Linked DNA regions of Callithrix jacchus. The protein of the gene in region 2 purifies or fractionates together with the protein of the main gene of each other region. This does not show direct contact. Links are inferred from orthologs where the notes say so. Each region holds a gene or a part of one and is shown on either strand. Other genes may lie near its edges. The genes, in order: CD46, CD81, PTGFRN, ITGB1, IGSF8 and GNB1.

Region 1 (4,228 bases), on a different chromosome or scaffold from region 2:
TTGCTCCAAAAATTGAATGTTTATTTTAGTTCATGTATTCTCCCTGCGTGGCATCATGAGTTCTCATTTTTACTTTCTCTAGGTTTCATACTTGTTGTTGATTTAACCTTATCAACCTCAAACTTAACTAAGAATGAAGAGAAGGAAAAACAAGGTTATCTTCCATGTTGCACCCTATTTTATTTTTCTGTGTTCCTCTATTTCAAATCACTTTCATTATCTTCTTCAACTTCCTATTTGTGTGTGTGTGTTTTCCTTTTCGTTTTTTTCTGGAAACAGGGTCTCACTCTGTCACCCAGGCTAGAGTGCAGTGGTACAATCAGGGCTTACTGCAGCCTTGACCTGCAGCCTTGACCGTGGGGGCTCCAGTGATTCTCACTCAGCCTCTCAAGTAGCTGGGACTACAGGCATGCAACAAACTCCACACCTGGCTAATTTTTTTTTTTTTTTTCATTTTTTGTAAAGGTGGGATCTCCTTATGTTGCCCAGCCTGAACTTCTAGTACTAAGTCTATTCTAAACATTAATCTTAAAAGAAAATAAAAGGCCTTTCGTTTTCTTCTTATCACCACTGCTCCCTCCTCCCATCACCCTCCTTCAAAATGAACGTTTTAATAATCACTGAAATGCCAGACTTAAGTACTGGAAACCCTACAGTCAACATGAACAGGGGAGGAAGATCCTTTCGGGCCCTCAGCTGCCCCTGCCCTGGCTTTTTAGGTACCACAGAAAAACCACCCTGAGCATAGCTCTTTAAACAACCTTCTTCCTGGAGGCAGGAGGAACTTTTTCCTAGGCTCTAAGCCCCAGCCAAATAGTATATTTAATTTTCTGGTATTTAACAGATGTCTATATGGATACTGAGTCAGTATTGATATGGAGGCAAACAAATTGGGCTTTTGGAACCACAAATGTGACAAGACAGATAAGATCCCTGCATTCTGATGGGGAGAGACAAAGAATAGAAAAGGTCATTTTTAAAGCGTGATTACAAGTGAAGAGGGACTTGAACTGGGTTGTATGTCTCCAACCTGAAACGGGGGGCGGTCAGAGAAGGTCTCTGAGGGGATAACATACCAGCCGAGTTTGCAGAAGAAAAGAGCCCGTTTATGCAGCAGTTCAGGAGAATGTTCCAGGGCTGAGAACAGCAAGCACAGATGCCCCAAAGAGGCAGAGTTTTGTCTCTTTGATGAGCAGAAAAGCCTTCCCTGCCTCCAGTCCATTTGTTAAATGCTGTCAGAAAATTATACTCCTTTTCTCCAGAGCACTTCCCTTGGTTCATAATATATTTGTTACTATTACGTTTAGTTAATGTCTGCCACTCCCAATACATTTTAGCGAATAGTTATTGTTTACTGTGTTCCCAGCACTGAGCTTGCAGCAGTGCACAAAACAAAGCCCCTGCTTATCTTCCTGCATGTACATGTGTGTAAACAAATGGCGAAAAAAAGGATCAAGAAAATAGGAACGTTTGGGATTGCCTACCAGTGTAATAGCACCACACATTCTAGGCCGACATTCGTTGAATGAATGTTCCTAAGGAAAGAAACGTAACGTACAACCTGTACACGTAATAGGATCCTAAATATAAGTTTGGACATAGATACACCTGAAGCGCATATAAAGTCAGATGGAAATAGTCCAAAATATTAAAAATAGTTGTCCTGTGATTCTGTTCGTTTTGTTTAATAAGCATGTATTTCTTAGCTTTTTTTTTTTTTTTCTAGATAGGGTCTCACTCTGTCACCCAGGCTGGAGCACAGTGGCATGATCACAGCTCACTGCAGTCTTCACTTCCCAAGCACAAGCGATCCTCTCACCTCAGCCTCCAGAGTAGCTGGGACCACAGGCATACACCACCATGCCCATCTAATTTTTGTATTTTTTGTAGATATGGGGTTTGCATGGGGTTTTGCTTGCCCAACTCCTGGGCTCAAGCAATCACCCCACTTGGGCCTCCCAAAGTGCTGGGATCACAGGCATGAGCCACTGCACCTGGCCTAGTATGCATTTTTAATAGTATTATTCCATTCAATGAAATACAAAACAAATTTAGTGGGATGGGCTTCAGCTTTAGTTTATGAGTTGCAGGGAAAACAGATTAACATAATTTCCTTTCCTTTGTTAGGATACTAATTTCTCAATAGGTTTGGTTACCAGTGTTTTTTAGGTTTCTTCACATCTCTCAAATATGACTCAAACAATGAAAAGAAGGAAAATTATGTCAAAAAGCCATTAGGTAATGGAATCAGAGAGTGTCTACATTGGTTGGGAACAGGAAGATGACTCCATGACCCACCCAAGTCCCAAAAAACCAGCTAGTTAAAAATCAAGACCAATAGGATCTCAGGCAACACGGAGACTGTTCACAGAAGGCACAAAACGCGTGGCGTGCCCTTACCAGCATCTCTAACCCCAGGCACTGAGAACCTGTTCTCACCCAACATAACCCCCCTAGCCCCAGAGTCCACGCTCACACCATTCAAAGCAAACAGTGAGCTGTCTTGTCCACCGTGAACTCTGAAGGGCAGGCCACTTGCACACAACACAGCACGCTCCCAACAACACCAGGCCAGGCCCCTGATCGCCCAGCACAGCCCATGCCAGCCCAGCCCATGGGGCACAGCGGACGGACGCGCCGCAGCACTTTTCGCAGATACTGCCGAAGTGCTAAGGAACACCCGGCTCACCAAGGCACCAACCGCCCCGCCCAGGGAACACATGTTAAACTCTCACCGGCGGCACAGCACGGGCCCTAGCAACACTCCCACGCACCCGTGCACTCCAAAGCAAGCCCTTACCAGGGGCACCCAGTGCGCGCTCCACTTGCCGACTGGACTCAATCCCGAAAACAAGGTGCAGGCTTTTGTTGGGGGCGCAGCCAGACCCTACGTAAATTCGGGCCGCGCACATCACTCCAGCAAACAAGCTTCACCTCGGGCTCTAAGTGGTCCCCGCATCCTCCGCCACACACCCCAGGGATCTGCGCACTGCGCTCCTCGGAGAACCCTGGCCTCGCCCTCTACCCCAAGCCGGCAGGACAAACGGTCAGTCCCGCCCCGCGCCTCCTGCCCAGCTGATCCAGCAGAGTTCTAGCTTCACCGCTGACGCGCGAACCCGCCCCGGGATCCTACCAGAGCAGGAGGACCGCAGCAACACCAGGGCCGCCAGAAGCAACCCAGGAAAACGCCAGGAAGGAGAGGGACACTCGCGGCGGCTGGGAGGCGCCATGCGCGTCGCGGAAGAAGCCGTCATTTATCCGGAGGTAAGCAGAGAAACCGGGAGCCAGCTGAGCAGGGAAGTCCCTTGTGAGTCCGCTTACGGGACGCAACAATCCCCAAACTCACAAAGTGCCCACAGCCTCACAGCGGGTGGGCGTGGCCTGAGCCGCGCCCGAGGCGGAAGTGAGTAGAGGCCCCGGGGCGGTGGGGCCAATCGGCGGACCGCTGGGCGGGGCCTTGGCGCTCAGGGACAGCCCGTTGGCCTCCTGGAGATAGGGCGTGGCCTTGGCAGGGCCTAACCCTGCAGGCTCCCCGGGCCTCGCCTCTTTTCTTGCTAAACCGTAGGGCCACAGTTCTGGAAACCTGAGGCGGCCTGCGAGAAAGGGCTGGGTCACCGCCAAGTTTGTGACCCTGGAAGGGTAGAAAGAAAACTAAGCTGCCGTAGGACTGTCTCCGGGAACTCGGGATTCAAGAATAAAGCCCTTCGACCTAAAAATAGAGATCCAGAGGCCAGGACGGGCGTCACTCTGGGCCATCAGCCCTCAGGGTTAGTTTTATCCTGGGGCACTGCAGGCTGTCCGGACTGCCTGGGCCCTTACACGGTATTTGCCATTAGACATTATTAGGAGCAGTATTTGAGTTTTTCTTGCTTGGATGCCTGCTGCTGAATCGTCTCTGGCCTTCTTGTTTTCAGTCTCAAAGGTTTGGCTCCTGCACTCCCAGCCCGTAAGGTAATTTGCTCTTTGCTCTCCTCCCTGGAGAGTAGCCCCGCTGGAATCTAAATTATTAAGCGACATCAGGCCCTTAGCATATTGGGACTCTGGGGCCCTTGCCCTTGAGCGACTAAATGTTTTTTGAAGATGAAATATACATGCATGAACAATGTAAGGACAAGGGTGTCCTAAGTGCCAAATTCTTGGAAGCAATAAATGCAGGAGGATTGGGATGGGCAGAAATTGTTAGGTTAAGTGGATAAGAGGGAGAACTTTCTTTTTTTGTGAAACAGTC
Region 2 (2,188 bases):
CCAGCTGAGCCCAAGGGTCCTAGAGGTCCCCAGGGCACCTCCTGCTCCTGAGGTCTGGGTGGACGCAGTAGGGGTGGTCCAGGATGAGACAGAGCCCGCCCGGGTTTCTGCCCCGCCCTGCCCCGCCCCGTCCCGTCCCGCAGTAGGGGTGGTCCAGGATGAGACAGAGCCCGCCCGGGTTTCTGCCCCGCCCCGCACTGGTTTCTGCCCCGCCCCGCCTCGCCCCGGGCCGCACCGTCTCGTGGAAGGTCTTCACCACGGCCTTGGCGTTGTTGGCGTCATCGTCCACCACGGCCTGTTGCAGGGCCTGGTCGTAAAACTGCTTCACATCCTTGGCGATCTGGGGGAGGGCTGCGGTCACTCGCACAGTTGGGACCTCCCCAACCTTGCCCCAGCCCCACGCACCTTTCCCAAGCTCTCCCAGGGCAGGGTGGCTTCCAGGCCAGACGTCTACACTCCCAGCTGCCCCGGGGGCGCCGGGACGCACAAGGGAGGCTGGCCTTGTGCTCAGCCCCAGTGCTGCCGCCTCCATGCAGCCCCCAGAGACTCTCCTACCAAGTGGGTCCCAGGAGGAGCCCAGAGAGTACCCCCCACCCGCAACAGCAGAGGAGGGTGCCCCTCCCATCCACCCCACCCTGCCCCCGCGCACCCAGGCTCACCTGGTCTTTGTTGACAAAGCCCCAGATGCCAGCGGCCACCTCACAGGCAAACAGGATGACCAGACAGGTGAAGAACTGGAGCCATGCAGTGGCCAGAGGGAGGAAAGAGGGCAGGCTGTGGGCGGGGCCCCAGGGCAGACACCCAGGGGCCCAGCAGGCTGTGGGCGGGGCCTCAGCACAGACACCCAGGTGCCCAGCAGGCTGTGGGCGGGGCCTCAGCACAGACACCCAGGTGCCCAGCAGGCTGTGGGCGGGGCCCCAGGGCAGACACCCAGGTGCCCAGCAGGCTGTGGGCGGGGCCCCAGGGCAGACACCCAGGTGCCCAGCAGGCTGTGGGCAGGGCCCCAGGGCAGACACCCAGGTGCCCAGCAGGCTGTGTGTGAGGGACCAGACCACCTGACCAGGAATGAGTGCCATGTATGAGCCCTAGAGCACAGAGCCTGACACTAAGCCCCAGGAAGCAGACGTCAAAGCCCACGGCTTCCCCGCCAGCACCAGCACCCTGAGGTGGATGGGGCGGGGCCTGAGGTTTGGGGTCACAGCTGGTGAGTCCAAGATGTCTGCAGCCCCGGGAGGCATGTGCAGCAGCCTGACCCCTGACTCAGACCTGGTCTTCCCCACCCCCTTGCTCCTGCTCCCCATGGGAAGGGGGCCATGGGATGTGCCTCAGTTTCCCCCACTGGGCTTCCCATTGGGGGCGCTGTGCCCAGGGATGCCCAAGGCCGGCCTCAGGTCACTTAGGAACTGACCATGAGGAGATCAAGCACAGTGGGATTTAATTTAAAAATCAAATGGGAAATCCGGGGCACGGGAGCTGCCGCCACCGCTGCCTACCCCAGAAGTGCAATCCGCCCTGAGCACCAGGGCCGGACACAGCCCCCAGCCCCTCCCCGGGCTGGGCCCATCCCAGGTGCAGGCCCACCTCCCTGCCTTACCGTCCCCAACAGGCACTGGGACTCCTGGATGGCCCCATAGCAGCCCAGGAAGCCAACGAACATCATCACGGCGCCCACAGCAATGAGGATGTAGATGCCTTGGGGAGAGCGACACTGGGTGGGCGCCTGCACACTCGTCACAGCCCGAGACCCCGGAGGGTCCCGGGTGCCGACCCCACCACGGGCTGCCCAGCTGGGAAGACCCGATGCCAGGGATGAGCAGCGAGGGCCCGCATCCCAGCTCGGCCCTGCAAACTCTCTGTGCCTCAGTTTCCTCTCCCATGATGCAGAAGGGAGACTGAGACCACCAGGTGGGGACTGTGTGCCTCGTGAGTGCTCTGAGTGCTGGAGATGGGTGCTTTGCAGGGACAAGGCCTGCGGTGTGGCCCATGGCCTGCCACCCGCCACAGTCCCCCACCCACCACCCACAACCCGCCACCCGCCACACCTGCCAGCCACAGTCCCCCACCACCACCCACGGCCCTCCAAGCACCAAACCCACCACCCACAGTCCCCCACCTGCCACCCACTGCCTGCACCCACTGCCTAAACCTGCTCCTAATGCCGCTGGGACTTGGCGTGGAGTCTGAGAAG
Region 3 (3,964 bases), on a different chromosome or scaffold from region 2:
TCAAAAAGAGCAGCGATACCAAGATTATACCCAGGTCACATCCCGGGAGGAAAGATGATCTTGCTGATCAACATATTACATTTCAGGGATCAGTACAGTGCTAGAGTAGTGTAACACAGGGAGACCTTCCCAGAGGTCAGGCTGAAGCTACACCGAGCAAGATTCTGTGGCAGCAGGTATCAGGAGAGTCATCAATGGGTCACAGGACTGTCAGGTGAAAAGGCACTGGCTGGTGACACCACAGAAACTCCCTGCGGAGTTCATAGGAGGCCTCCAGCCAGGACAGGATATGTTGGGGTACAATCAAGATTTCCCCAAGTTGTGCTTTCCCCACTTGTCTTTTTTTTTTTTTGTCAGTCTCTTTGCCCCCTCCCTCTTCCGCCCTTATTATGATTACTCAAGGGCATTGTTTTCAAAGTTCTACCTCATCCCACCCTCATAACTGGTACCCAGGTTTCAGAGAACTGCACAGCTCTATGGGGAGTCATTCACATGGGCTATAAAGTGAACAGCAGCTCCTGAAGCTGTACAGTGCACCATCCGTGCAAACCCAGGCCACGGCCCTGCGTGATCCAGACATAGTCAATGTGTGTGGACCATCACAGCAGCGTGCCGCAAACATAGGGTCCCAGAGTGAAAAGTAAAGACTAAAAGCATTACCACCGGGTGTGGTGCAGCGTGCCGAGAATCCCAGCACTTCGGGAGGCTGAGGTGGGAGCATCACTTGAGCCCAGGAGTTTGAGGGTTCAGTGAGCTGTGCAGTGCCACTGCACTCCAGACTGGGTGGCAAAGTGAGACCTTGTTTCAAAGATAAAATCACACCTGTGATCCCAGCACTTTGGGAGGCCGAGGCGGGTGGATCACGAGGTTAAGAGATCGAGACCATCCTGGTCAACATGGTGAAACCCCATCTCTACTAAAAATACAAAAAATTAGCTGGGCACGGTGGCACGTGCCTGTAATCCCAGCTACTCAGGAGGCTGAGGCAGGAGAATGGCCTGAACCCAGGAGGCGGAGGTTGCGGTGAGCCGAGATCGCGCCATTGCACTCCAGCCTGGGTAACAAGAGCGAAACTCCGTCTCCAAAAAAAAAGCAAAGCACCAGAATCAGGAACGATAGAAGAGATGCCATAAAACTAACTGGAAGATAGGGAAGCTCTCTGCACACTGCCTGAAGCTGAAAGCAACGTGGCTGGACGAGCTCTCTTAGGGAGAGTTCAGAAAATCCCTTCAAGGTGAAGGAAGAAAACATAGTAGCTAGCAAGGCTGGTTCACCAGCAGCAGGAGTGAAGGGGGTTAGAGTAGTGTGGGCCCCTGGTGTTCCCAGCAGGGGAGTGGCTGTAGAAGGCCTCCCCTGGGACCCTCTGGCCATAAGTGCAGAGTAGTCATTTGCCCTGTGTGCAGCTGGGACCTGGATGGGATGGACACGGCACAGCACGCGCTCTGTAAAAGGCTCAAATCTGCCTTCTCCAGGGGCTTGGAAGAGAACCCCAGGCCAGGTCACAGGAATCATCTCGTCCTGGCTGACACTGACCACAAGGATCCAAGAGTATCAAAGCGTTTAAGGGTCAGCCCTGGGGTACCACGGTGGGCACTTAATAAACATATTTCCGTGGCTGGCTAGGATCACCATGTGGATCTACGTGAAGATGGTGCCTGTGTGTGGAGTGAATGGAAAATGGAGAGGGGGAAAAAACCCACAAAAGATTCCTTGGGTGGGGGGAGGGCACTGGGCCAAAACCTCACAGGGCACCGAGGGTTTCCGGAGGGTGGAAGACCAGGGGACGGTAAGGGAGGAAAAGTAACAGGTAGAAAAAGTTGGAGAAGCCAGGCTCTTCGGTCTTTGTGTATCAGTATGCAGCCAGGCAGCTTCAAGAAAAGCTAAAAGAAACGACTGAGGCAGAAGACCCAGCCAGCACGAAAATGACGGCAGGGCTCGCACGCCGATTTCCATCGTAACGCTCAGGGCCACGCTGTGACCTTCGTGGAAGGAAGTTGGAGGATTCTGTCGCTTCCCTGGAAAGGCAACTCCGCGCGGGCTCGGGGAAGAGCGACGCGGCCGGCGGCGGCTATGGCGGGGCATCTCCCAGGCTCACATTTCCGCTCCCGAGCCGGGGACGCGGGCCGGGACCGCAGCACCTTCCGGGCCGGGAGTTCAAGGTGAGCCGGGTTCCCGGCGGCCAACAGGTAGCGAGGGCCGGGGAAAGCCGGCCCCGGGCCACTCCCCCCGGCACATGTCGGGGGCGAGGCTCGGCCTGGCGGAGCGGCCACTTGCACCCCTCGCGCGGGGCCCGGGCGGATTCGCGCCAGGCTCCGGGCGGCCCCACGGCCGCTCCCCTCCGGGCCGAGCCGCCCGCGCTCCCCGGCCGGGTTTCCCGGGAGCGGCCCGGGCACCCTCCGCACCCCAGGCCGCGCGCCGCAGCCGCGCCCCGCCGAGCCCCGCGCACACTCACCCAGCCACAGGAGCGCCAGCAGCAGCGGCCTCGGCGCCAGGCGCCCCATGCTGGCGCGGCGGGAGCGACTCTCCCCTCCTCCTCCTCCTTCCCCGCCGCCTCTCCTCCTCCTCCTCCTCCAGCTCCGGCTGCTCCAGAGTCCGCGCTCCTCCGCCCGGGCCGCGCGCCTGCTCCGCTCTCCCCGCGAGCCGATAAATCCCAGCGCTGGGGCGGACGTGCGCCCCTGGCTCCGCTCGCTCCCTCCCGCCTCCTCCCCTCCCTCCTCCGGCCGGCCGGGCCCTGCAGCCGGCCCCGCCGCTCCGAGTGTGCAGCCCCGACCGCTTCCCGAAAGCACAAGGGAAGAACCGCAGCGCCCTCCCGCCCGCCCGCGCCTCCCATCCGGCGCTTTGCCAGCAACAAACACAAACTTTCCCAAGCCCCTCCCCGCTCCAGGTAACGGAGAACGCGCCGGGGCCACCCGCTTAAAGGCGAGGAGGCGTCGGAGCCCACCCTGCCCTCCCCTCCGGGCCCCCGCCCACGAGAAACTTTCCTCCGACCTTTAAAAGTTGGCCTGGGAAAGACTCGTCTGGAAATCCCATCGCTTTGGCCCTATCCCGGGACACCCTGCGTTCCATCACTCTGCAGTCACCCACGCGTGTCCAGTCTGTCCTCAGCCAACTCCCCGCTGGTTCAGCCTCTGGTCCTGAGCTAAGCACCCCACCAACCAGCCACTCGGCCTATGCCAAAAATTATCCAGATAGGAGTGAAGGAGCTGAAAGGACTTTCAAAGGCCACGGATTCCAACCTCTGTCATACAGAGGCCTTACGTGTTTCGGTGAGGTGCAGGAAGGGGCGAGATCCGAACCCTGCTCTCTTGACTCTGCCCACACCCCGGTGGGTGGGCTTGCCTCCTCCTTGCCCAGCTCCCTCCCTCTCCTTGGCGCCTGTGGCCCTGATTGGAACAACTCCCCACAAAGACACCCATTTAAAAAAACGAACACACCAACAATACCCAAGTGCATTAATAGCTGTAGTACTTCACATAGAATGTGCTCTTAAGATTTCATATCTATTGCTCTAACTGGACACAACTGGTTGCCAGTAAATATTCTTCCCCCCTCACAATATTTTGTGCTTTTGATTTGATTACAAAAGGCCCCACGGTATTGGGAGGTATGGAGCACTTCTTGTTAAAACTTAGCAAACATGATTCAAACAGTCAAGGAGCAGCACTGGTGCCCCCTGCCCTCACCAGGCTTTCATTCACACCTGCAAATGCTCCTGTGGAACTGCCACGCTGGGGAAGAGCACTGCTGTTACTCTTACGCGTTGCTCTTTCAACCAACAAGTGTTTCTTATTTCCACTATCAAATGGGTGATTAGTCAGGTATGAACCCTTGGGAAAGAGGCTTAGAAATTCACTCCTGGTGGTGCAACGTTATTGTACTTAATGCCACTGAATGGTACACTTAGAAATGTTTAAAATAGCCAGGCATGGTAACTGGTATCTGTAATGTCAGCTACTCAGAAGGC
Region 4 (4,275 bases), on a different chromosome or scaffold from region 2:
CCATTATGCTTTTGTACTATACAGTTTTCTGTGCTGAGACTGGGCCAATTCTGATGAATTCCAAACAATGGTAAAACCGATACCTTTAAAATTCAAGAATGTTGAGTTCTAATGGCAGTTTGATCATTGATATATTATAGGAACATCATTTAGTCTCTTAAGCTTGAACATCCATTAAGTGGGAAAAATAGTGATTATTTTCTAGAGGTCTTCAGAGATTGGCTAACCAATAGATTTTGCTGGTAAGTAATGTGCAAATTTTCTAGAAAGATGTTATTGCTTCATTTTCTCTTATATTTTGGATTGGCAGCAGCCAAATGGGTGTCCCAGCCCCTAATCTCCTACAAGAGAAACACTACTTCTCAGTTTAATAAATCTGATAAATTTTGAGCTCTTTTTCTAACAGGGTGCAGCAGCTTACTAAGTAAAGCCCACAACATTTTCTGCTACCAGGATAGCAGCTTGCCAGCAGCACATACTGAATTACGGGGTTTCAGTATGATGTTGGCTGGTAGGAACTTCAATCATCCAATCGATATGTGCCCAGCCATTCTCATTATGAATGTTTCCTTCTCTTTCAAACGTTGTTTCCAGCCCCCATCTCCAAGTGTTTAAAAAAAAAAAAAGTGAGGAGAAACAGAAACTATACACCTCAGGATGAAACTTTTCTTTCTCATCCCTGTTCCCCAATAAATGGACTTTCAGATAAACCTATCAAAAGCAGCCCACAACTCACCATTTTCTAAAACGTTCCCCATCCCCACCCTTCGTGGCACCCATGGGCTTCCCCAAGTCTTCACCTTTTTCTTAGACACACGCAAGCACATTCTCACCCCAGGAAAGCAGTCCTGGCTTAGCCAGTTCCCTTCCAGAAGGACCACGTTGTTTTTGCCCCCATGGAGCCCTGCAGGGTCCGGGGCTCAGGTGCCGATTTGCCTTGGGACGGAAGGGGGGGCTTCCTGGGTGCAGGATCTCACAGGCTCAAAACGAGACATCAGTGGACAAACGGGAAGGGAGGTCGGACGCGCGGCTCCCAGGAAGCGGAACCAAAAAACACTGGCTCAGGAGGCGACGCCAGGAACGCGCGGGGCTCTAGGGCGCACCCGACCCCTCACGCCCTTCACAGAGGAGGAAACTGAGGCGCGGGACGGCCTCTGCGGCGTCTCTGCCCCGCCCTCCACAGTCTCCCCCAAGGCGCGCTCCCGTGCGGGCCGGTTCCTTTGTCCCGGCAGCGCTTCCTGCCTCCTCCTCGCCCCGGGCCCGGCTGACGCGGCGGGAGAGGAATGCGTTTCCGGAGGGAGCGGGCGGCGGCTGCGGCCTCGGGAGCGGGATCGGACGCGCAGAGAAGGCGGGGCCGCGGCTAGTTTCCTGCCGGGGGGCGGCTCAGGGCCGCCGAGTCCCCTCCTCCCGCCCCTGAGGGGGAGGAGCCGCCGCCGCCCGCCGCGCCCGAGACCTGGGAGGCCCCGCCAGCCCGCGAGAGAGGCCGAGCGGGAGCCGCGGAGCAGCAGGCCCGAACCCACCGCGCCCGGGCTCGGACGCCGCGCGGGGAAGGTAGGGGCCGGGGCCCTCGGGCGTGGGGTCGTGGGCCGCGGCCTCAGGGATCTGGTGCGCCGCCGCATTTTGGGCCGCCTGCTGGGCCGCGCCGGGACCTTTGTGCCGGGCGTGGGGGCGGGGGCGGCCGCCGGCGGGTGGGGGCTGGGGTGGGATTCCAGGCTCGCCGGGGAGGAAGTCCGCGCTCTGCCACCCGCCTGGCTCTTCCACCCGCCTCGAGTCGCGGGCGCTGGTAGTCCCCGGGCGCGGAGCCTACCCGGCCGCGTTCCGAGCGCGGGGGTAGATGGCTTGGGCGCTGTCACGTCGGGGCTGCGGGAGCTGCGGGGCAGTGGGCTCGAGCGGCCCCTGACACCTGCAGTCTCCCACCCGGCTGGGCGAGCGCAGGTGGAGCCAGCGAGGTCTCCTGGGGCTCGGCGTTTGGGACTCGGCGCGTCCCTGGACGGGTCCTGTGCCTTTGTCTCCCGCTCCCTCGCTGGCTGCCGTCCTTGGAGCAGCGTCGAGTCGGTTGTCCGCGCCCGCGGCGGGGACTGGTCTGGTGTCCTCCCGCTGCCGGGAGGCAGCCTTGAGGCCAGCGCCGCGGGCGGGGGAGGTGGGAGCCGGGTCAGAAAGTGGCCTCGCGTAGCCGCTGGGGACCAGAGGCGTGGTGGCGGCAGTGCCGTCCACCTCCCCGTGTTTATAAACGCGAGTGCCCGGCAGTCAGAGACGCCAGCCTCTGCCGGGCACCCCGGGACCAGGACGCAGGACCACGGTCACCCGCGCTCAGACCCCGTCCGCGAGCCTGAAAGCCGGCCTGTGTCTAGTATCATTTTACCTCACGTCATTTCTTAGGCTTCATAAATTGAATTTATGAGACTCCTACTCTAAGCAACTTTTATTTCGTGAAATTCGTTGTTTTGAGTCAAAAACTTTGCACTCATTTGTATGATTAGTAAGTTGCACTCAGCTTCCGTTTCCTTGTCTGTGAAATAGGAACAATAATATCTACACTAAATTATTCATTTTTATAATAATGACAATGAGGGCCAAGTTTAGGTCTAGGAATTTTACATGTATTATTTAATTCTGGAACCACTCTAATGAGGTCGGTACTGTTTTTATTCTCATTTTCTGAGTGAGAAACTGAAGCACAGGGAGCAAAAGTAAGTTGCCTGTGGTCATCAGGAGCTCCTGGAGAAGGCATGGGGTCTAGCTCCAGAGTCCACGTTTAAACCACAAGTAACTTTCCTAACTATAGTCTAGTTGTGAAAATCAAATGCAAAATGCGAGACACTTAGAGTAGATGCTTAATGAATACTGACTCCTTTTCAGCCCTTTCTTTATAATAAAAAGATGTTAAAAAATATCTCAGAAGGTAATTGGTAACATCATTAGTAATTTCTCTGGACCAACATGCCACATGGATAACAGGTGGGGAGAATTACTAGGTTATTTTGTTTTGTTTTGAGACCGGGTCTCTGTCGCCCAGGCTGGAGTGCAGAGGTGCATCACAGCTCACCGCAGCCTCAACCTCCCAGGCTTAAGTTACTCTCCCACCTCAGCCTCCTTAGTAGCTGGGATTACAGGCGCCTGCACCCTTTTAAAATTTTTTGTAGAGACAGGATCTTACTATGCTGCCCAGGCTGGCCCCAAACTCAAGCAGTCCTCTCTCCTTGAGCTCCCAAAGTGCTGGGATTACAGGTGTGAGTTCCTAAGCCTGGCTCTTAGGTTCTTATTTTTTTAATTGTATTTTTGATGGTACAAAAATAACATGCTAGAGGAATTTAGGTTAGACATCTTTCTTAAACCACGTATGCCCTTAAAAATACGCTATGTAATAGACCACTTTCAGAAATGATTAAGAACTTTAGTTGGCAGTTAACTGTTCATTTGTGGACACCAAGGCCCAGAGGGGTCAGGACTTAGAGTCTCACTGTAATTCTTATATTTTTAAATAATGTTGTCTCATTGATTAATATTACACACGTGGTTGAAAATGGTGAAGTGTTAAATAAAAAAGTTTGGTGTTTTCCTACAGGCATTTGGGGAGAAAGCCATTTTACTTATCCAAAGATTGAGTATGAAGGTGGAAGATGTTATTAGAATGCTGGTTAAAAGGACAAAGAATGTGGATAATACTTTAGTTCTGTAAACAGAAAGCAAATAGACTGTTTAATGCGTCTATGTTGACTTCAGACCTAGACCTACAATGATTGTGACTTCTTTTTTAACCATGTGAAGGTCTATATTGAAATTATTTTTTGTTACCCTCACTCAACATTCTCTACATGAAAAGTATGGAATCAACAATTCTGAAAGCCACTAGATTTAGTAATTAGACAGCTTTCTTCTTAGCTTTGGTCAGTATCATTTAAATCAGCCCCAAATTACCATTACAAATGAAAATGTAATTCTACATTGGTGTTCACTTCCTAACTTTGGGAGTGACAGTGGGGACATCTGGTCACATTTTGCAGTCAAACAACATGGTGCCAGTTTTCCTAAGAGTGCTTGCCACTGATTGTAATGTCTTTGTTGTTTGGCTTCTTCCTAAGTAAGTTGTGGCTTATAGCGGAGACTAGTATAATGTTCTATCTGGAAAAAATATTAATATTCTGTAGGTGCTCTGGTTTGCTCTTAACTATATTGCTAGTGTGATAAGCTGAAACGTCTTGTAACTGGTAAAAGTTTCAGAGAACTTTTGAGGTCCAAGGATGTAACTTTCTGAATATGAACAAGCTGCATATA
Region 5 (2,504 bases), on a different chromosome or scaffold from region 2:
GACAAGAGGCACCTGATTCCCCAACTTTGTGTTTTCTCCTTGACAGCAGCAGCTTCAAAGCTTCCCGTCTGCCTCTCACGGGGTATGACCATCTTTCTACTCGGGGGCTTGAATCTCACCCCTCACCCATGGCCCTCCTAACTCTATAACCAATTACTGAGCAGAGAAAACTCATCAAGGGCAGAGCGGGAAGCAATGCTAACAGGGATGCTCACTCTAGAAGATAAGTTCCTTGGAGTCAGATGACGGCTATCTGGTACCCCCTGTGGCCACAGTGCCCACCAGCATACTGTCCCTCCCAGCTCCCACAGTGGGATGTGGCACTTACACAGCGTCTGCACGTCCACGTGGGCCAGGACAGTCCTTTTCTCTGCAATCTGGGCCCAGCTGCCATCAGGATCCTGAATCCACTCAGCGGCAGTGCAGTGGTAGGTGCCTGCGTCCCCTGCCTGGGCACCTCCTACTACCATGTGGTACCGATCACTCCCTTCCTTACCCAGTCGAAGCTCCCCTGCAGCCAGTCGCTCAGCATAGGGAGCTCCGGCCTCCACAGCCAAGTCTGACCGGATTCCCACCACTTCCTGCAGAGTTGCTCGCCCAACTGGCACCTCGGGCACAGATCGCCCAAAGGACACTGCCAGGTGTGTGTGCTTCTGTGTGCCTGTCCTCGCTAGGCAGCCCAGTGCCAGCTCCTGCCCCTCATACACCATCAGGCGTGGGGGTGAGGTTGGGGCCTGGCGGCCTCGGGGTCCTGCAGGAGCAGCAGACACCTGTAGGACATCTGGAAGAACTGGAGAGAAGAGCTGGAGTGAGGGAGGGCTGGGGGCTGGCAGCCCTTGTTACTACTTCCTGTTCAGGGCCGATCTCCCTAAATAGACTGTGAGCTCCCAGAGGGCAAAGATCGCATGTTGTATTATTTCTTCTGTAACTCAGTGGTGCCAAGCGCAGTGCTGGGCGTATCACAGGCACTCAATAAATACTTGCTGAATTTCAAAGAACCAGCCCATCGCCTACTCACCCTTACGTTCAAGACTGACCCCTGTTTGAAATACCAAGAAAAGTGGCTTTGTCTTCCTTCTCCAGGAGACAAAGAAACTTAAAAGAGTGAGAATGTCACATGGCCTGACTCCTTCCCTAAATACGCTCTTTCCCAGATCTGGGTCCTGTACTGTCCAGTAGAGTCTATTCAACCCATCAGTCTTCCTCATTCTTGGGAATGGAAAGGGGACTGGATGGCTCTTCTTCCAGAAGGGGGCTTGATATAATCAGAAGAGCACTGGCCTGGAGTGAGGAAATCTGGGTTTGAGTCCCACACCAGCCACTGAGTTATTGGGTGACTGTGCAAGTCACTTAACCTCTTTGGGCGTCGAGTTCCTTGGCTACAAAACCTAAGGGGCAGTTAGATAGGTCACTTGTGTCCCTCCTGCCTTGAGAGGGTGTGTGGCCGCACCCTGTTCCAGGGCCTAGTACCTCTCAGCTCCACCTTGCCGCTGTAGCTGCCTAGGTAGCGGGTATCAGTGGAGGGGGTGTGGCACTCATAAATGCCAGCATCCTGGGCCTGCAGGCGCGCAATCTTGAGCACTGCAGCATCCCCTTGTAGGCGCTGCACCTGCACCTCACCCGCCAGCACTCGGGGCTTGAAGATCGCATAGTGGAACTGGTCATCCATGGTACTGACAATACTGAGAGCAGTATCCGGGGCCTCGGGCCTGTACAGGAACCACTCAAAGTTCTGCTGGGCAGGGCCCTCATATTCAGTCACATTGCAGGAGATGGAGACAGCTGTTCCAACCACACGGTACAAGGGCCCCTCAGGGACCAGCACCTGCCGGGCCCAGCATCCCATTCCTGTAGGGAAAGACAAAAGGAGTTGGAGATGCCTGGTTCCCCATTCTATGCCCTCTGCCACCACAAGCACCATTCTTGACTTCTGCCTATAAAAGGAAAGGAGACCTGGAAAAGTTGGTCCACAGCTTGGACCCTGTTCTGAGAACAGGAAACAGATGCTGGGATATAAGACACTTGGGTCTCGAGGAGGTGGTATGGGCCCAGGATTGCCTTGGCACCCAGATGCATCCCATTTCTGGCAGACTAGAAGCAGAGCGCCTGAAGGCAGAAAGGAGTACATCTGATTCCTGACCTAACCAGGCCTTGGTTCCAACTGAACCTTGATCTGTCCCTGCCATTCACCTACCTCCATGTCTACCATTCCTTCCTCCTGGTCAGGGGAGCCTTCTGGCTGGGGGATTCTGAGACTACATGTTCCCTCCTTTGCTTGAGGGGAGCTGGCAGTCTTGCTCAGAAGGGCTAGTTGGCTCAGCTTGTCACCTGGGCTAGACAATGGAGCCAGTGGCCCTAGCTGGAAAGGGCACAGACCCAGTCAGTTCTCACCATACAATGCCCTCCCCCCTCCAGCTGTGCCATGAGCTCACTGCTTCTCTCACCCTGCAGGGCTGCCCAGGCAGCTGGGGCTTCTGGAGGAAGATCCAGACTCTGCCCTGGCA
Region 6 (3,980 bases), on a different chromosome or scaffold from region 2:
CTATGTCAAATGACCCAGCAAAACATATACTTTAGGCTTCATCCTAAATTAAAGCCTGGGCCCTGCTCAGCGTGGAGCCGACTGTCATGGACCAGGCATCCAGTACAGCTGCCTCTCACACGAATGGACCCTGGATCCCTTGCATTGGTGGCACGCCACTCCAGAACACACCTACACCTGCGTATCCTGTGGAGCTTTCTTACTCCATCAGCTACTCTGTGTATTTTAAGGCACACCATGTTTTAATCAGCATCTCTTTGAGAGCCTGTTTCCTCAATAATAACGAAAAGGAACATGCAAGATCCTTTAAGGGTCTTTTGGCTGAAAAATCTAAGAAAGAAAAAAACCCCTTTTAGAATCATCTACAATTTCTTGTTTGATTCACCAAGCTCTGCATTCTTTAACAAGTGTGTATTCCTTGGGCAATCAGGAAAAAATGTTCTACATTTTAAAAATAAACCTTCCTTTCCCATTTGGTGTAAAAGGACTTAAACAGCTTTTGCTGTCCCTGTCTCGTGCAGAGGAGCTAACACGACACAGTCCCTGTGACTTTGGAGATAGAGCAGCTGGGCGCCTCACCTAGTGAACATCCCACTACGGGACCACAAGCTGCAAGTGGCTGCTGCGCACAGGAAAGGGAGCCAGGAGACTTGGGACAAAAACAGTGTCAAGTATCTCAATTAAAATGTATTAATTACTGCCTACAGTCACCATGTTTTGTGGTAAAGTAAAAAATAAATAAATAAAATGTATTAATTACATATTGAATAATAATATTTTAGCTATATTGCCTTAGATAAAATTTGTTGGGCCAGGTGTGGTGGTTCACACCTATAAACCCAGCACTTTGGGAGGCTGAGGCAGGAAGATCACTTGAGCCCAGGAGTTTACGACCAGCCTGGGCAACATGCTGAACTGTGTCTCTACAAAACTGAAAAAAAATCAGCAGGTACGGCAATGCGTTCCTCTAGGCCTAGCTGTGATCGTACCACTGCTCTCCAGCTTGGGCAACTGAGCGAGACCTTGTCTCAAAACACGCAAACTAAAACTGAAAAAACCTTACTAGGATTAATTTTACCTGTTTCGTTCTTTTCATTCTTTTTAAAGAGAGGGGGTCTTCCTTCATTACACAGGCTGGTATCAAACTTTTGGGTTCAAGCAATTCTCCCATCTTGGTCTCCCCAAGTGCTGAAATTACAGGCAGGAGCCATGGTACCCCGCCCTATCTCTTTTTACAATTTTTATGTGGCAACAAGTGTATGTTCGGGAGTGTCATGTGCTATTCGTACCAGTCCAAAAGGGAGTCCCCTGTGCAAGAAGGCGCTGGGAAATTCACAACATGGCAGGGCTCAAACCTCCAGAGGAGGTGCAACAGCTCCTTTGGGCCTTAATTTTTTTAATTTGCGTGTCTTTTACCTTCTTGTACAAGCTCTTTTCATCTGCTATGAATAGATCCAGGTCCACTATTTGTGAGAAACGTATCTCACCAACAGAGAAACAAAACGTCTTAAATAGGCCAAATCACACTACTGTCTAAGACATTTTCAGGGTAACTTAGTAGAGGATATTTGATTTTCTCTCTGACTGTAAATCTCAGAGAATTCCATCATTTTTCCGCAAGTTCAGGAACAAGCTGCCTAAAATGATGCTGGTGTTTCTTTCTCCAACTCCTGGTGGGCTTTCTAAACACGTAATGGGCCATTTAAAAGGAAATAATTAGGCTTCATCCTTGCACTAAGTCAGAAAAACATACTGTTTTTATTTTATTTTGAGAAGGAGTCTCACTTTGTCACCTAGGCTGCAGTGCAGTGGTTGTGAACACAGCTCACTAAACAGCCTCGATCTCCTGAACTCAAGTGATCCTGCTGAGTAGCTGGGACTACAGGTGCGCACCACCAAGCCCAGCTTATAAACTGTTACTCAGACATGTATTAAATGTTGCCGGCTTCCTGTACAGTGACACACTGAAGGACAGCTAAAGCTTGACAGAGCAAACAAGAGTAAGCTCTTACATCAAATGGACAAAACCTAAAATCATAGTGAAGACTTGTTTTTTCCTGAGAAGTCTGCCTCTTTTTCTCTTCCTCTTCATATCAGCAGTTTCAGAATGGAAACATATACTGGTATTAAGTGTTTCTCTATAAAATATTTACTAGAAGTGCTAGTTCACAAAAGGAGAAGGAGCAGAACAAATTCTGTTTAGACCTACTGCTCCTCCTTTTTCAAAAAGTTTATGGGGATGGGAGCAGTGGCTCACACCTGTAATCTCAGCACTTTGGGAGGCCAAGGCGGGTGGATCACCTGAGGCTGGGAGTTCAAGAACAGCCTGGTCAACATGGTGAAACCCCATCTCTACTAAAAATAGAAAAATCAGCCAGGCATGGTAGCAGGAGCCTATAATCCCAACTACTCGGGAGGCTGGCGCAGGAGAATTGCTTGAACCCTGGAGGCAGAGGTTGCAGTGAGACAAGATCTCACCACTGCACTCAAGCCTAGGAGAGCGAGACTCTCTCTCTCTCAAAACAAAAGAAAACAAAAACAAAAAACAAAAAAGGCCGGGCACAGTGGCTCGTGCCTGTCATCCCAACACTTTGGGAGGCTGAGGCAGGCAATTATGAGGTCAGGAGATCGAGACTGTCCTGGCCATGGTGAAACCCTGTCTCTACTAAAATACAAAAAATTAGCCAGGTGTAGTGGCACGCACCTGAGTCCCAGCTACGCAGGAGGCTGAGGCAGGGAAATTGCTTGAATCTGGGAGACGGAGGTTGCAGTGAGCCAAGATCATGCCACTGCACTATACAGCCTGGTGAAAGAGCAAGACTCCGTATCAAAAAAAAAAGTTTATGAACTGTGCAGTCTAACTTGTGTATCAGACACAGACTGGAATGTTTTAGAATTCTGTGACAGATATTCTTTCTACAATGCAGTTTATTTACACACGATTGTTTTCATTTTTCAGGGTCTCACTCTGACGCCCAGTTGCACAATCTCGACACACTGGAACCTCCACCTCCTGGGTTCAAGTGATCCTCTGACCTCAACCTCCTGAGTAGCTGGGACTACAGGCACACACAACAATATCCAGCTAATTTTTACATTTTTTGTAGAAATGGGGTTTCACTACGTTGGCCTGGCTGGTGTTGAACTCCTGACCTCAAGTAATCTGCCCGTCTTGGCCTCCCAAACTGCTAGGATTCCAGGAGGGAGCCCAGTGCAACTGGCCTCTATCTTGGATTTTGATATATCTGCTCCATCTAGCAGTCTATCAAAAGTTGCAGATTCCAATCATCACCACTAGATCCCCTTTCAAAATTAGGAAAAAATACATCAGGTACACCTGAAATACTTTTTTACTTTTAAGGCGGAGTCCTGCTCTGTTACCAGGCTGGAGTGCAGTGATGTGATCTCGGCTCACTGCAATGTGCGCCTCCCAAGTTGAAGTGATTCTCCTGCCTCAGCCTCCCGAGTAGTTGGGACTACAGGCATGCACCACCATACCCGGCTGATTTTTGTATTTTTAGTAGAGACGGGGTGTCACCATGTTGGCCAGGATGGTCTCGATCTCTTGACCTTGTGATCTACCCGCCTCGGCCTCCCAAAGTGCGGGGATTATAGGTGTGAGCCACCGCACCCAATCCTAAAATACATTTTTTTTTTTTTTTTTTTTTTTGAGACAGAGTTTACATGTTGTTACCCAGGCTGGAGTGCAATGGTGGGATCTCGGCTCACCACAACCTCTGCCTTCTGGGTTCAAGCAATTCTACCTCAGCCACCCGAGTAGCTGGGACTACAGGCGCGCACCACCATGCCCAGCTAATTTTTATATTTTTAGTAGAGTCGGGGTTTCACCTTGTTGACCAGGATGGTCTCCATCTCTTGACCTTGTGATCCACCAGCCTTGGCCTCCCAAAGTGCTGGGATTATAGGCGTGAGCCACCGCGCCCGGCCTGAAATACTTTTTTATTGTTAATACTCTTATT

The links.
Region 1: the proteins of CD81 (region 2) and CD46 purify together in Homo sapiens (co-immunoprecipitation; 3 studies listed by BioGRID and IntAct, with this or other methods). This does not show direct contact. The link is inferred for Callithrix jacchus from reciprocal best matches to the Homo sapiens genes CD81 and CD46.
Region 3: the proteins of CD81 (region 2) and PTGFRN purify together in Homo sapiens (co-immunoprecipitation; 7 studies listed by BioGRID and IntAct, with this or other methods). This does not show direct contact. The link is inferred for Callithrix jacchus from reciprocal best matches to the Homo sapiens genes CD81 and PTGFRN.
Region 4: the proteins of CD81 (region 2) and ITGB1 purify together in Homo sapiens (affinity purification with western blotting; 4 studies listed by BioGRID and IntAct, with this or other methods). This does not show direct contact. The link is inferred for Callithrix jacchus from reciprocal best matches to the Homo sapiens genes CD81 and ITGB1.
Region 5: the proteins of CD81 (region 2) and IGSF8 purify together in Homo sapiens (co-immunoprecipitation; 3 studies listed by BioGRID and IntAct, with this or other methods). This does not show direct contact. The link is inferred for Callithrix jacchus from reciprocal best matches to the Homo sapiens genes CD81 and IGSF8.
Region 6: the proteins of CD81 (region 2) and GNB1 purify together in Homo sapiens (co-immunoprecipitation; 4 studies listed by BioGRID and IntAct, with this or other methods). This does not show direct contact. The link is inferred for Callithrix jacchus from reciprocal best matches to the Homo sapiens genes CD81 and GNB1.

The regions. Positions count from the first base shown.
Region 1 is NC_133520.1:35,123,986-35,128,213, reverse strand, and holds the start of CD46 (membrane cofactor protein), read right to left. Parts: upstream 2,801-4,228; 5' UTR 2,723-2,800; coding exon 2,479-2,722; intron 1-2,478. UniProt on the Homo sapiens protein: Acts as a cofactor for complement factor I, a serine protease which protects autologous cells against complement-mediated injury by cleaving C3b and C4b deposited on host tissue.
Region 2 is NC_133511.1:129,475,683-129,477,870, forward strand, and holds part of CD81 (CD81 antigen), read right to left. Parts: intron 1,693-2,188; coding exon 1,595-1,692; intron 735-1,594; coding exon 660-734; intron 341-659; coding exon 236-340; intron 1-235. UniProt on the Homo sapiens protein: Structural component of specialized membrane microdomains known as tetraspanin-enriched microdomains (TERMs), which act as platforms for receptor clustering and signaling.
Region 3 is NC_133508.1:154,913,973-154,917,936, reverse strand, and holds the start of PTGFRN (prostaglandin F2 receptor negative regulator), read right to left. Parts: upstream 2,801-3,964; 5' UTR 2,502-2,800; coding exon 2,453-2,501; intron 2,160-2,452; exon of another isoform or gene 1,975-2,159; intron 1-1,974. UniProt on the Homo sapiens protein: Inhibits the binding of prostaglandin F2-alpha (PGF2-alpha) to its specific FP receptor, by decreasing the receptor number rather than the affinity constant. Functional coupling with the prostaglandin F2-alpha receptor seems to occur.
Region 4 is NC_133508.1:32,641,337-32,645,611, reverse strand, and holds the start of ITGB1 (integrin beta-1), read left to right. Parts: upstream 1-1,475; 5' UTR 1,476-1,551; intron 1,552-4,275.
Region 5 is NC_133519.1:20,039,987-20,042,490, forward strand, and holds part of IGSF8 (immunoglobulin superfamily member 8), read right to left. Parts: exon of another isoform or gene 2,195-2,504; intron 1,849-2,194; coding exon 1,471-1,848; intron 791-1,470; coding exon 329-790; intron 1-328. UniProt on the Homo sapiens protein: Member of the immunoglobulin superfamily (IgSF) that links tetraspanin-enriched microdomains to the actin cytoskeleton and plays several important roles in innate and adaptive immunity.
Region 6 is NC_133508.1:39,890,269-39,894,248, forward strand, and holds the start of GNB1 (guanine nucleotide-binding protein G(I)/G(S)/G(T) subunit beta-1), read right to left. Parts: upstream 2,801-3,980; 5' UTR 2,786-2,800; coding exon 2,705-2,785; intron 1-2,704. UniProt on the Homo sapiens protein: Guanine nucleotide-binding proteins (G proteins) are involved as a modulator or transducer in various transmembrane signaling systems.